Cricetulus griseus: one gene and its partner. The protein of the gene in region 1 interacts with the protein of each later gene in a pairwise test. Links are inferred from orthologs where the notes say so. Each region holds a gene or a part of one and is shown in the gene's direction. Other genes may lie near its edges. The genes, in order: Znf446 and Znf496.

Region 1 (8,105 bases):
GAACCCAGAAGTAGATGAGTCATCCTTGATTCAAGGGAAGCCAAATACTGAATTGACACAGGGGTTTGTCTTGTGACTTTCCTGAGCAGACATACACCTACACTCCCCAATTAGGGAAAGAGAAAACACAAATGAAAGATCCTAAATCCCACTTGGCAAATAAGTTTATTGGTGTAAGGAGTCAGGCACTATGCTGGCCTGCCCCTGTCACCTGGCAGAATGCACTCAGGCAGTATCTTGGTCAGCCCAGGGTTCCATGATTCCGTGGTTTGCACGTAGGTGCAAAGGACTCCTTTAAAAGAAAGACCTCTGTCTACTTTCTTCTGCTCTCTCTTTCCCTGGTTCCCCTGGGGCAGACAGAGACAGAATTTTTCCTGTCTCCCTCGTCTCTTCTGTCCTCTCTGTCTCTGTATCTCTCTCTTTACCTCTTTTCTCTTTCCTTCCCCTTCCCTCCCCTTTCTAATAAAACTCTTCACTTAAGCTCCGTTTGCCAGGCATGTTTGTCTATCTGCCTTGGTCAACCTCACCTGCCATGGAATCTGCCAAGTCCCCCCAGGCAAGATTCCCCTCAAAGGTTACCATAACAATTGAGGTTACAAGAACATGGGTGACTGAATAATCCCAACTCTAATCAGTTTTTTCACCTTAAAATTCAGCTTGTTTGTTTCTGAGACAAGGTTTCTCTGTGTAACAGCTCTGTCCTGGAACTCACTCTGTAGACCAGGCTGGCTTTGAACTCAGAGATCTATTGCCACTGCCTCCTGAGTGCTGGGATTAAAGGTTTGCCCTACCACTGCCCTGTCTAAAATTCAGCGTTTCAAAGATCACACACAGTTGGGCAGAAGGACTGGTGACCCCCCTACCCCACCCCAAGAGAAAATGTCAATACCCCAGTATCACAGACCTAACTATTTGCTGTATAATTTCTATGCATTAATTTCTAAGGGCAAGGTCAGTAGGTTGCCATAGACCCTCTGCTTTAAGATGGCTGAGAGGCCAACTTGGGGAACTTAGATCCTATCTCAAAAAAAAAAAAGAAAGAAAAGAAAAAAAACTATTTTTTAATGATTGCATTGGCCAACCCAATATAACCATAGTAATTAAGGGAGTTGGGGCTAGCTCAATGGTTGTTTTCCTGGTAAACATTCGGCTATAAATTTAAAGCCCAAGTATACCACATGATTCAATCAGGTCTACCCTGAAGCACAGAGAAGGCTTGGGAGCCAGCTAACCTTGGACGGGAGCCCTAGAACAGAGATGCTTCCAGGGACAGCTGCTTCCAAGAGGACAGCTGCCTGGGAAGTCCCTTAAAGCCCAGCCTCTCCCCACTGGGTGGGTATGAGAGCTTTGTCCACAGAATCTATGAAAGACCTCATCTCCCAAGATAGTTCAGCTGGTAAACCCAGTTGACAAACTCTACCCGCACAACTGCTCAAGAGTTTCAGATGTGGAGAACTGCTGCTCACTGCTAGCTGCTGGCAGCCGAGGAGGGGGTTCTCAGGAATCAGAAAAAAAAACAAACAAACAAACAAAACAAAACAGAATAGACAGATCCGCTTCAGGACTGAATGATTCTATCATGGTTCAGACTCTTGGTATGTGGAAACAAAATTAACCTCATGTGCACATAAATTTAATAGCCCTTACTTGCTGTGTGTGGTGGTTCAGACCTTTAATCTCAGCAATCAGGAGGCAGAGGCTGCAGGATCTCTCGGTGAGCTCCAGGCCACCTGGGGACTTGAGACCCTACCCCCCCCAAACAAACAAATAAAAGCCATTAACTTTATTTTTTTAACAATTTAACTTTGTTTTTAAATGTGCGTTGGTGTGAAGGCATCAGATCCCCAGAACTGGAGTTACAGACAGTTGTGAGCTGCCATGTGGGTGCTGGGAATTGAACTCTGGTCCTCTGGAAGAGCAGCTAATGTTGTTAACCTCTGAGCCATCTCTCCAGCCCCTCACCTCACCCCATTAACTTTATTTTTAAAAAGCCTTTTTCCCAAAAGACTTTGGAGAGGGAAAAAAAAATGAGTAAGGGCCACCTTGTCTAACTGCAGCCTCCAAATTAAAAGTTGAGTGTGTCTCATAATCTCAGACAGAACCCTCCATCTCCATTTGCAGTAGTACCGCTATCTAAAGAGGGGGTGACCACATGGTCACCTCCTCTGAACGCCTGCTCGCCCACCCATGGGCCTATTTACTTAACGGACTATAACAAAGGCCATACTGGGTGTGCTCGCCCAACGCTGCCTCCCACCGGGATCCTCTGGAACTCGCACCTAGGTCTTCTCGGCCGGCCGCAAGGCCACGCTTACAGCGTTGCTTTGGCAACCGCAGAGGTGCGCTCGCTGTTACCTAGGAGACACACGGAGCGATGCTCCCTTCTCGTAGCTGAGCGCCCGGCTCTAATTGGGCAGAACGCCTCACCAGCCAATAGGAGCCAGGCGCGCTGCACACATGCGCAAGGAGGCTACGGTCCCGCAGCCCGGGTCCGCAGTGGGTGAGTCCTTCGGCTGGGGTGCCAAGGAAGAACGGGTCGCCAAGTCAGGAGAGGGAGCCCCGTCCACCACCACCACCCCCGGAACTCTGCGACACCGCGGGCTCCAAAGGAGAGGAACGGAACGAAGCCGCTGGCGCGCGAGGGGCCCGAGAAACGCGCGCTCCCCCTTGCTGAGGCTCACGGGAGATGTAGTCCGCGCGGAGGGGGCCGTGCCTGTGGGGCCGGTGCAGGATTGGCCAGGCCGGTAGTGAGTGGCGGTGGGGCGAGCGGTGTAGCCTCCCTTCCCGGAAGTGCCCCGAGCTCCTGGGGCGCCAGGAGGCGTCAGAGGTGAGCGAGCTGCTCGACTGGGCGGGCCCAGCTTCTCGTGGCTCCCCCCCCCCCCGAGCTCGAGGAGCGCCCCACTGCCCCCAGCCTTCGAACCCAGAACTCCGGGGGTCCCCTTCCTCCTGAAAGACCCTCCCTCTCCTTTGCTGTGTCAGAAACTGACACCCACCCCACCCCCAACTCTACAGGTGCCCCAGGAGAGCCGGTTTCAACCCAGAACCTCTTAAGGACTGGGACACAGGTTCCAGTTTACATGTCCACGTGATGCACGGCTGTCTGCTTTGGCTTCTGCTTGGGCGTTTCCTAGGCGTAGTGTGAGGCACCCACGGTTTTGTCGGTGAGCAGTGTCACCAAGCTCATATAGGCCCCTGGGAGTTGGCCCAGGCTTTCAGCACTGTCCCGGGTGATGTACCCAGACCCCAGAGCCAACTCTTCAGATAGACCAACACGATCTGCTTTCTGACTGAAGCCTCCAGGGCTCCAGGTCGCCCTGAAGGATGGTCCTACCTGTGCCCCCCTGATCCTTTGTCGGCTGGGGGAGCCACGGTAGTCCTCTGTTGGTAGTCCCAAAGGTTTGGGCCAGCCATGGAAGTTTCCTAGAAGGCCCTTGGACACCTTCCACCCAGGCATTTATCATCCATGCACCCTCCAGGTTGGGACCTGCACCTCCCGTTTCCTTCCTCGAAGCGCTCCTGGCCTTGGGGTTCTCTTTCCTGGCTTCTAGGAGGGGTCTGGTGTGTGCTTTTGGCCTTAGATGACACTCTGGTTCCTCCTTTCCTGTAGGTCCCTCCTGACAGCTCCAAAAAGACCCTTCAAAACAAGAATGCCAGCTCCTCTAGGTCCCCCACACCTCTCCCTCGGGGACTCCGAGACCACCATTGAGGAGCCTGAGGCTGCGCGACTCAGATTCCGGGGTTTCTGCTATGAGGAGGTAGAGGGGCCCCGAGAGGCCCTGTCCTGCCTTCGCGACTTGTGTCACCAATGGCTGCAACCTGAGTCATGCTCCAAAGAGCAGATGATAGAGTTGCTGGTTTTGGAGCAGTTCCTTGGCGTGTTGCCCCCTGAGATCCAGGCCTGGGTGCGAGGGCAGCGACCAGGAAGCCCTGAGGAGGCTGCAGCCCTGGTTGAGGGGCTGCAGCTTGATCCTGGGCAGCTGCTGGGCTGGGTGAGTGTAAATGGCATTAGCTGCTCAGGAGGACAGACTGAAGGTAGAGCCCCCCGTGACAGGCTTCTCTTCAGATCACAGCCCACATCCTGAAACCAAAGACGCTGCTTACAGTCCAGCGGACAAAGGAATCTTCCGGGAGCCGCAGCGTCTCAGTAGCAACGGAGTCCTCCGAGGCAGGCCCTTCGGAGGAAGTACCACAGGGTTCCAGCCTAGACAGATCTACCCAGATCCACTTGGTTGTGAAGGAGGAAGCCAGCGCCGATGGACAGGAGACGGGTAGGTGAGGGGTGACAACATCAGAATTTCAAATCTCTGTGTGTGGGTGTGGGGTGGGGGATGTGGTATCCTAGGAGGGGTTGTGTCGGGGGCTGGGACTCCTGAAATAAGTCTGCATGTCCCCAGCTGGGAGAGGGACCCTGGAGAGATTACAAAGGTGGATTCCTATGAAGCAACAAGACAAGACTGACCTCGCACCATGCCACATGGCAGAGGCAAGCCAAGGCCAATGCAGTCACCACAGCTTGATGCTCCTTCCCGTCTCCTTGTCTTTCTCAGTATCCCCAAGCCCCCTCCTTCCAGCCCAGGCCCCTGAGGGACATCTTGGACACCAGGAAGCAGCCTCCACATCCTCCCACCCAGGAAGGATCCAGGTAAGCAGCCTACAGCAGGAAAAGCAGGCCATGGGTGTATATGGGGTGTCTCTGTTGGTTGTATTCCCACCCTGTGGTTTGGTAGGGTCCTCTGCCAGTGACTCGTGTGTTTGTGCTTTTTGTTTTTACTATTCCTGAGTAGTAAATAACTTCCCTTCCAGCAGGTTCTAAGGGCTGAAGACTAGACTGGTAGGTCTCTCATTGGAAAAGATTTAGGCCTGGTCCAGAGTGGCTAGAGCTGGTGGCCATGGCTTCCTCACCCCAGAGAGGCTAGTTACTGGAAAGGCTTGTTATACCTTGAGGTCATGGGCCAGCTGTTATGTGTGCGGGCGGAGAGGAGACTGCCACGGCAGGGTTCCTGCATCCCTGAGAGCAAATCAAGACACTCTCCCTGAGTATGCCTCAAGTCCCTTCTACTGCCCTTGTCAAAGGACAGTGACCTGGAACCTTAGTTTAAAGCCCCTGCTACCTGAGCGTGCATAGTTGACGTGGAGGGGTAGGGATCCTATCCTCTTCAGGGTCTTTCTGTCCCTGGGCCCCTCCACTTGGGAGCCCCCTACCTCAATAGAGGGTCTAGTTAAGGTGTGCTTCAAGGTTAAGAAACCCCTCTAGGATGTCTCTCTGGTGCCCTCACTTCTGGTCAGCATCGCCTCTAGATTTAGCTGTCTGTGGCTTCCAATTCCCTCTTTTCCAGATTGTCCTTGGCTTGTCCTTCGGGGTTACTTTTTCCCAACCTGCCAAAGACCTGTATGGCAGATCTTAGAGCAAGGAAGAAGGTAGACCTTGCCGGGCTGTGTTGGTGCATGCCTTTAATCCCCCAGCACTCGGGAGGCAGAGACAGGCGGATCTCTGTGAGTTCGAGGCCAGCCTGGTCTACAAAGCTACAAAGCTACAGGGAAACCCTGTCTTGAATAATAATAATAAAAAAGGTAGATCTTTTAGACGGGGAATTCTTCCCTTGGGAAGGCCAGAATAGGTAGGAAGGCTTCTGTCCTGCCACCAAACTTACCCTCTTCAGATCTTCCTAAACGAGCTGCCACAAAGCTCTGGAGCTTTCTCTATCACCACTTCATCACAGTCCTGAAATCCCTCATTCTTAACCTTAGCGTCACTCCCAACCTTTTTGTTTTGAGACAGCATCTCTCTACATAGCCCTGACTGTCCTAGAATGAACTAGCCATGTAGCCCAGGCTGGCCTTGAACTCACACAGCTATACCTGCCTCTGCCTCTGAGTACTGGGATCGAAGGTATGCCCCACCGTGCCTGCCTCCTTAATCCTCTTTCTCAAAAATAAAATGAAATAAATAAAAGTGTTGGAGATGTAGCTCAGTTGGTAGAGTGCCTGCCTAGCATGCACGAGGTCCTAGCTTCTGTTCCCAGCACTGCATAAACCGGGAGTTCTGTAATCCCAGAACTCAGGAGGTAGAGACAGGAAAATCAGAAGTTTAAAGTCATCCTCAGCTCCATAGTGAGTCTGAGCCAGCCTGGCCTACACAGACCCAATCTCACACATACACACTCCAATAAATGTAAAAAGAAAAAACAAATTTCATGCTGAGGAAGTTTCTCTCATAACGGATGACTGTGAGCCACCATGTGGTTGCTGGGAATTGAACTCAGGACCTCTGGAAGAGCAGTCAGTGCTCTTAACCTCTGAACCATCTCTCCAGGCCCCAAGTTTCCATTTTGTTAATCAGTCTTGGAAAAGGTAGCTGAATCCCAGGTAGTCTCCTGGCCTCTTACTGCCCTCCCTTCCAAGCACATTCTGTACGGTTTAGTTACCAGACAAAGGATGGGGACAGCCATGGTGTCTCTGCCGAAAACCCACCCACAGTTTCAGTCCTTCTGGCCACTGAGAAGACAGTGGACAGATGAAGGCTGATCCAGTCCTCACAAGTGCCAGTGCTGACTTGGTCCTTAGGCTGCTGCAGATGAGGTAACCTGCTACCCACTGGGTGGTGGGTAGGGAATGTGAGGCTGGGTGGGAAAGGCAGTGACTGGTTGCGTCCTTGCAGCAGGAGTGGTGCCAGTTGGACTCATCACAAAAAGAGCTGTGCTGGGGCGTGATGCTGGAGAAGTACGGCTCGGAGGTGTCCCAGGGTGAGATTCAATGGCCCTCTCTCTTTCCTGTCTTCCCTGCCCCATCCTCCACGTGCCTCCCCGCATGTGCTAGGCCCCCACCGGGGCTCCCGGTGCAGCAGCGGCCCAGCATCTGGCTGCATCTCTCTCCTACCAGAAGGCACCCTCCCCCACACTTCTGTGCAAGCCCCTGTGTGACCGAGCTCCCAAATGAACGTTCTCCCCAACCCAGCAAGCCTGCCGCCGCTGCTGGAGCCAGATATGCACGTTGAGTCTGAGCTGAGGCCAAAACAGGAGACCCCGCATGCAGGACCGGAGCCCCCCCGGAGCCATCTCCCGGAAGTGGGAGCCATTGCAGGTCCAGGGCTAGTTCAAGCCTGCACATCCCCTCCAAGTGAGAGCCGGAGCCTTTGCAAGGACCCTGCAGGCCCGTCTCCCGCGCCACTGCTTGAAGCCCCCGCTGGGCCCGCACCTCGGAAGCTGTACACTTGTGAGCAGTGCGGCCGCAGCTTCGATTGGAAGTCCGTTTTCATCATCCACCATCGCACGCACCTGGGTGAGCCAGGCCTGGAAAGGCCGCCACAGGTGTCCCGGGAGCCGGCCCTTCGGCACCCCACCCGCCTTCGGGGCTATGTGTGCCTGGAGTGTGGGCGCAGCTTCAGCTGGAAGTCGCAGCTGGTCATCCACCGCAAGAGCCATGTAGGCCAGCGGCGCCACTTCTGCCGGGACTGTGGGTGCAGCTTTGACTGGAAGTTTCAGCTGGTCATTCATAGGAAGATCCACCAGCCAGAGGGCCCATGAGCAGCTGGAGAAGGCGGTCTCATCTTGGCAGCCTCCAGCCCCTAATTTAGCCCTTCAGGCGTCCCCTCCAGCCAAGAGGAGGCTCTGGGACACCCCAAGTGAGTGAGGGACCCCCCAAAAAAAATCCCCTGTCCAACGCCGTATCACCCGGTGTAAGTGGGAGAATCTAGACTATTCTAATCCATGGCTGGGGTCTGACTTGTGCAAGGGGAGGATGCTCCCTGCTTTGGGATGCTCAGAAATTGCCTTAGGTCCCTCCACGAAGTCTCGTGGAAGGTACGGGGGAACCACACGCTGCCTTTCCATCTTCTTGCATGTGACCCTCAACTAACGAGCTTAATTTGTAACCTAAGGTCCATAACTAGAATTTCCGAGTAAGAATTCTGACTTCTGGATTCCACTGATCAAAAGGGCAGGCAGCCTTGTATGCTGGCTGACCTGCCATAGGAACCACAGGGCAGTTGAGCAGATGTCACTTCGGTCCTTCAGCCTGACTAGTTCTTGGCTGCAAGCATGGCTCACCACCTCCCCGACCTCTGAATTCCTGAACCTGGACTTGGACGGACAATAAGGGCCATGCAT
Region 2 (6,324 bases), on another chromosome or scaffold:
GTCCTGCTGTTTGCCCATCCCACAGTGGCTACTCATTGCCTTAGTAGATTGTTGAGGGCAATGTGACACTGCTCTGTATGTAGTGAGTGTTTTTTACCTGATGGTGGGTAGCCAGAATCCCAAGATGATCTTGTTGTAAAGAGCTGATTCTAGAACGCAGAAGGTGCATTGATGCCTTCCCAGTCCTAGTCTTGTCATCGTAACCACCTCCAGGGCAGACTACAGTGTGCTATCTTTTAACATTGTTGGGGACCGGATGTTGTTCTAATTAGCACACACAGGCTCTGCTAAACACATCTTTGAACCCAGTGCCTCAGTGGCTTCCTACAGTTGTCTAGAGTCACACATTTTTTTCACTTGTGATGCTTTTGCAGGTAGGATTGGTATGTCCACCTTGTGCAGTGCAGGACATTCAGCCATTAGTGCTAAGCTCCCCATCATGAGTGGATTCTAGAGCATGGTCAGTCAGCCTGGAAGTGGGAGACCCCTCTCTACCAATACCTTGTCTTTTTCTTTTCTGCATCTTTTCATTCACTTGTGTTCAACTCTTAAAACTCTTTTCTGGCCTTTAATCCCATCACTTGGGAGGCAGAGGCAGGTGGAACTCTGTGAGTTCGAGACCAACCTGGCCTACAGAGTAAGATACAGGACAGCTAAATCTACACAGAGAAACCCTGTCTCAAAAACAAAATTTAAAAAAACTTTTTCTTGCTAATAACACAATACCTTAGCCTTAGTCATAGTTGAAGTCTCTTGCTAAAATAAAACACCATGACCAGAAGAAGCAACTTAGAGAGGAAAGGGTTTATTTCAACTTACACGGGGTCACACTTTATCACTAAGGGAAGCAAGAGCAGGAATCTGGAGGCAGGAACTTAAGCAGAGGCTATAGAAAAATGCTTCCTACTGGCGTGCTCCTATGGCTTGTTCAGCCTGCTTTCTTACACAACTCAGAACCGAATGCCTAGGGTTGACACCACCCTAAGTGGGCTGAGCCCTCCCGAATCAGTCATCAGTCAAGAAAATGCGCCACAGACTTTCCCATATCCCAGTCATATGGAGATATTTTCTAAATTAAGATAGCCTCTTCCCACATGACTAGCTTATTTCAAAGTGAAGTAAAATTAACCAACACAATTGACCCTTGTCAACGTGATATACAAAACACATCATATTAAGTCATAAACTTTCCTTTCTTATTTGTCCCCAAGATCTTGTATTGTAATTACTATCACAATATAAAACATTTCAACTTTTTGGTTTTTTGAGACAGGGTTTCTCTGTGTAACAGCTCTGATTGTCCTAGAACTCTCTTTGTAGACCAGGCTGGCCTTGAACTCACATAGATTCACCTGCCTCTGCCCGAGTGCTGGGCTCAAAGGCGTGTGCCACTATGCCCAGCTCAAAACATTGCAACTTTTAAAAGTTCCACAGTCTTTAAAATTCAAACACTTAAAAGTTTGGTCTTTTTTCCAGGACACGCCTTTAGTTCCAGCACTCAGGAGGCAGAGGCAGGCTGATCTCTGAGTTTAAGTCCAACCTGCTCTATAGAGTAAGTTCCAGGACAGCCAGGGCTACATAGTGAGACCCTATCTCAAAAAAACCAAACCAAACAAACAAAAATGTTCAGTCTTCTTAAAATGTCCAAAGTCTTTTAAAGTACAAAGTCTTGCTAGGCAGTGATGGTACATACCTTTAATCCCAGCCAGAGCTACACAGAGAAACTCTGTCTTGAAACAACCCCCCCCCCCAAAAAAAAAAGGTACAGCTTCTCAACCGTGGGCTCTTGTAAAATGAAAAATAAGTTATAGGTTTTCTTAGTGCAAGACAGAAAAACCAGGGCACATTCAATTCCAAACCAAAGTCCAACGCTGTAAAACTCAATGTTTGATGTCTGGGACTTATTACCTTCCAGACTTAGGCAGCTCTACTTTCTGTCTCTGCTGTTCATAACCCATACACAGCTGCATACCTTTTCTTAACATGCTGACAACTGATTTGAGATGACTGCCCCCAATACAGATGTGTCACACCAGCACACAGATAGCACATATGTAGACCAGACATACTGTGTACAAGTATGGTATAAGCAAAAGATATATTCACTCTTAGAGTAGCCTAGGCATTCAGAAAAGTATTGGCCCTCTTTGTTGTGGGTTAGGGTTTATATGGGAGTCGAGCTGTGTGGGAGAAAGGAAAAGGGCCTATGGAGGTGCAGCAGCTGTCTGTAAGCTATTTACCTGTGTGGAACAAAAGAGAAGCCACTTGGCTTAAGAATAATTTTGTTCTGGTTCTTTACCCACACACTACACATATGTGTATATGTACACATGCCTGTGGGTCCCGATGGAGACCAGAAGAGGACATTAGAGTTCCAGGTTGTAAACTGCCTGACCTTGGTGCTTGGAACCAAAGCAGGTCCTCTGGAATAGCAGCAAGCATTCTTAACTGCTAAGCCTTCTCTAGCCTTCATTTTTCAAGGGCAAGGTTCTACATAGACGTCAACTTGCCTTTGGCATTTGTAGTCCACTGTAGTAGCACTTTTTCTTTCACTGAAAGCTAATAGTAATTAATAAAAGAATGTTGTCATTAACAAGAGCTCAATAGCATCTTCTACCTGTCTAGTCTGAGGTCTCGAAAGTGTTTCACGACTGGAGTTGCCCCACCAGCCACCTGGAAAGCAGAACAGCTGTGGTCATTTCAGTCTTATAGATATGCTGCACGGGCTTAGAAAAGCTGCCTGGCTAGAATGCGACCTCTCAGCTGGAAAACCCAGAGGAGAGATGAGCTTTAAAGCCCAGCTTCTAGCTCTGTCAAACTTAGGTTGGGAACCAGTGAGGGTCAAGTTCTACTCCTACCCTTCTTCCTTGGGCATGTCCCTGTGCCTGTGAGAGTGTACAGCATAAGTAATGCAGCACTCGTTAATGTCTAGGAGCAGAGGGGGCTGTGCACACCACATCCCTAACATGGTCCCTGAACCTCCAGGGTCCTTGGCATGGTGCCTAGTTAAGTAAGTAATATAAATGGTGTGTCAAAGGTTTACACAGGTAAGTGCCAGTTCTTAGAATTTTAAGTCCCAGTGGCTCAGGAAGGAATGCTTTGAAAGGAAAGGATTAGGGAAAAGCAGCAGGAAGGCCAGAAAGAGATCCAGTTGTTACACCAGCAGCCTATGCAGGACAACCAAACCCTCCAGAGTTACTAAGGAATGCTACAACCCCAGGGTATCTGGACCCCCACTTAAGCCTTTCTGAGTAGGTTTTCTAAGAGCTGGGGTAGGAAGTCATCTGGACAATTCCACTGACCATACTGGTTTCTTGTAACAGGAGGTGGTGGTGACCCACCACCCCTAAAGAGCAACCTGGACCAGGAGGTGACCATTGAGATCGTGCTGTCCAGTTCTGGGGATGAGGACTCCCAACATAGCCCATACTGCACCGAGGAGCTGGGGAGCCCTGCAGAAAAGCCTCATAGTCTCCCAACCCACAGGAGCAGCACTGAGGTTGGGGGTGAGGTACAGAGCTCACAGAAGTCTTATGTGTGTCCGAACTGTGGAAAGATCTTCCGCTGGAGAGTCAACTTCATCCGGCACCTGCGCAGCCGCAGGGAGCAGAAACCACACAAATGCTCAGTGTGTGGAGAGCTATTCAGTGACAGTGAGGACCTGGATGAACACCTGGAGACCCATGAGGCCCAGAAGCCCTACAGGTGCACTGTGTGTGGAAAGAGCTTCCGCCTCAACTCACACCTGCTCTCCCACCGACGGATCCACTTGCAGACAGACAAACAGCAACCCGTGCAGAAGAGTGAGGAGGATGCGTTGGAAACAGAGGGCGCAGATGCCCATGCCCTGCTGGAGAAGAGCAAGGCCAAGCTGGGCTTCCAGTGTGGGAACTGCGGGAAGGGTTTCCAGCGACACGACCATTTGGTGAGACACCGTAGCCACTGTCACCTGAAGAATGAGGCCCGTCCACTCCAGTGTCGGTACTGTGTCAAAACTTTTCGGCAGAATTATGATCTCCTCCGCCACGAGCGCCTGCACATGAAGCGTCGCTCCAAGCAGGCTCTGAACTCATACTGATCAGGGTGTGGCCCCACAAGCTAGTCCCTGCCCCAGCACCAAACCCAAACCACCTGCCCTTTGCTCTCAGGTAGTGTCCAACTTCTGGTGCCATGCCTCTTCCTCTCCAGATAGAAAGTAGCCACCTGAGCATTCCCTCTACTGTGCCCAAACCCAGGGAGGTGAGGTAACTCCAGCCTCAAGATCTGCATCTTGGAGCCCTCCAGCCACTTGCTCCAGCCCTCAGAGGGACTGGGCTGCCCCTAATCCATCGTTTGGAGAGGCGGGGTGTGTATAGTGGGGAGCTTGCCTAAAGTACTGACCCTGGTCCTGTCCTCAGAAGTCAACCTGAGATCACTGTGTCCAGAATGCCCCACAGATCTACAGATGGCCAGGAGGGCCTCTAGGATCTGTGGGGAATTGTCATTAGACCCTATTAGGCTAAGCTCATATGGGGATCAGGAGCTCACATTTTAAAAGTGTGCGCACCTATCCCAAAATATCTTCTTTGTGCCACAAAGATCCTTTATAAATGTGGGATGGAAACTGCCTGTCACTACTCTGATTCCTACCCATTCTGTCTGAGAATTGAGAGTTTGGCCCCTCAAGGCTCCTTTGCCAGGTGAGCCAAACCCTGGGACAGAAGCTTCTGTGAAGCCATGTCCTTCAAGGGTATCAACTCCAAGGCAGTTTGTTTAGCTTCCTAGCACTGTTATAACTCATACTAAACATAGGCTCTTCTAATAGCAGCAGGTGGCATTGACACGGTTATGGAAACTGCAAGGCCGAGGTCTGGTGTCAACAGGATTGGTTCTTTCTGAGGCTAGAAGAGGGAATCATCCTGGGTCTGGTGGTCACTAACACTTGTCTGTAGCCCTGTGCTTGTACAAATGTCTCTCTATCTTTGCCTTCATCTCCACTGTGTCAGTCTCCAAACTTACTTTTGTACAAGGATCCCAGTTTTTGGGTTGGGGCTCATCCTGTCTCCTGCAGCAGAACCCCACCTACATCTGGAGTGGCCATTTCCAAATAAAGTCACATCTCGGGTACTGGGAGTAAGGACTTCAACACTGGGGTTTGAGTGGACATAGCCAAACTCCAGATAATTCCGTGGTGCTGTTGTTATTCCTGCCCCAGATGAACCAATTCGAACTTGAGGTAGCGTGCTTTCGTTCCTTTGAATGCTGGATTCAATCCTAGTTGTCTGCTTTCAGAACTACAGCCATCTGCAAGGAGGAATCCTTACCCGTGGCCTTTAAGTTCAGAGCCTGTGATTCTGGGAGTGGTTGTTCATAGGAAACCTCAAGCAATCAAAAATGTGGTCTTACTGCCCTGGCCCACTGGTGTTGGGCTCAGCCATGAGGGTGTTGGCCTCAGTGTGACTATGACTGAACCTGAGAACTGCAGCCAGGCTGGTTCTGTAGGCTGTACCAGCTCTCAGCTGTCAGGAAGCCTGGGAAAATGAATTCAAGGCCTCTGGTGCTCTCTCCTGATTTTCACATCAAGAAGTTTATTTCAGACCCAATCAGAGAATTACAAGACTTTCTTTTTCTGCTCAGTGCATTACCCAGAGATAGTAAATGCAATAAAAACCATTTGTTCACATCTTGAACAAGAAATAAACTGTCAAAGGTCCTAGTTTCTAAATAGTTCTCTTCCATCCTTGTGTCTGGAAAAGGGAGAAGCTGGGTCTTTATGGTCAAGGGAGGGAAGACTTTCACATGGAGGCCAGTGTCTCTGTATTCACCCTGTCTACCCCTGCTCTCTTGCCTGAGGCTCCACTCTTACCTAAAAGGGGAGCATAGTGCTATTCATTTGTGTATTTGACAATCAGCTGATAAAAGTACAGGGCTTGTTAGAGGAGGTATCCCAAGTATACAGCAAATAGTGCCAGGGAGCCCTAGTGCCTGGTCCAAAGCCCACCAGGCCATCGCCATAACTGGAAGGTTACTTTCACCTATCTTAGAAGCCCAGGGATGCAGCTTGATCCCAGGGTTTTTCCTCAGGAGTAAATAGGAGTTACCTGTGAGGAACAGAGGCAAACCCCCCACTAAACATCCTGTCCTTACAGGACTGGATTGGTCCTTGTCTCCCTCTGGTTGCTGATGTCTATAGCCTCAGCTAAGAAGAGCCAACTCACTCACTCCCCTAAGTCTTCTCATGGTAGCCCTCAGAAGACTGTAGGTTGAGATCCTACATCTAAGTAGCCTCTTTCCATGCTCCCCGATTCCTTGGCTTCCCACAGTTGGCGCAGGTACATTATAAAA

What was found.
Region 2: the proteins of Znf446 (region 1) and Znf496 interact in binary tests that used the Homo sapiens proteins (3 or more experiments, as listed by UniProt). The two-hybrid records come from large-scale screens. The link is inferred for Cricetulus griseus from reciprocal best matches to the Homo sapiens genes ZNF446 and ZNF496.

Annotation. Positions count from the first base shown.
Region 1 is NC_048602.1:25,555,131-25,563,235, forward strand, and holds Znf446 (zinc finger protein 446), read left to right. Parts: upstream 1-2,509; 5' UTR 2,510-2,827; intron 2,828-3,012; exon of another isoform or gene 3,013-3,161; intron 3,162-3,168; exon of another isoform or gene 3,169-3,476; intron 3,477-3,607; 5' UTR 3,608-3,647; coding exon 3,648-3,989; intron 3,990-4,063; coding exon 4,064-4,268; intron 4,269-4,547; coding exon 4,548-4,642; intron 4,643-6,658; coding exon 6,659-6,743; intron 6,744-6,954; coding exon 6,955-7,523; 3' UTR 7,524-7,904; downstream 7,905-8,105. UniProt on the Homo sapiens protein: May be involved in transcriptional regulation.
Region 2 is NC_048600.1:73,542,749-73,549,072, reverse strand, and holds the end of Znf496 (zinc finger protein 496), read left to right. Parts: intron 1-3,323; coding exon 3,324-4,078; 3' UTR 4,079-5,704; downstream 5,705-6,324. UniProt on the Homo sapiens protein: DNA-binding transcription factor that can both act as an activator and a repressor.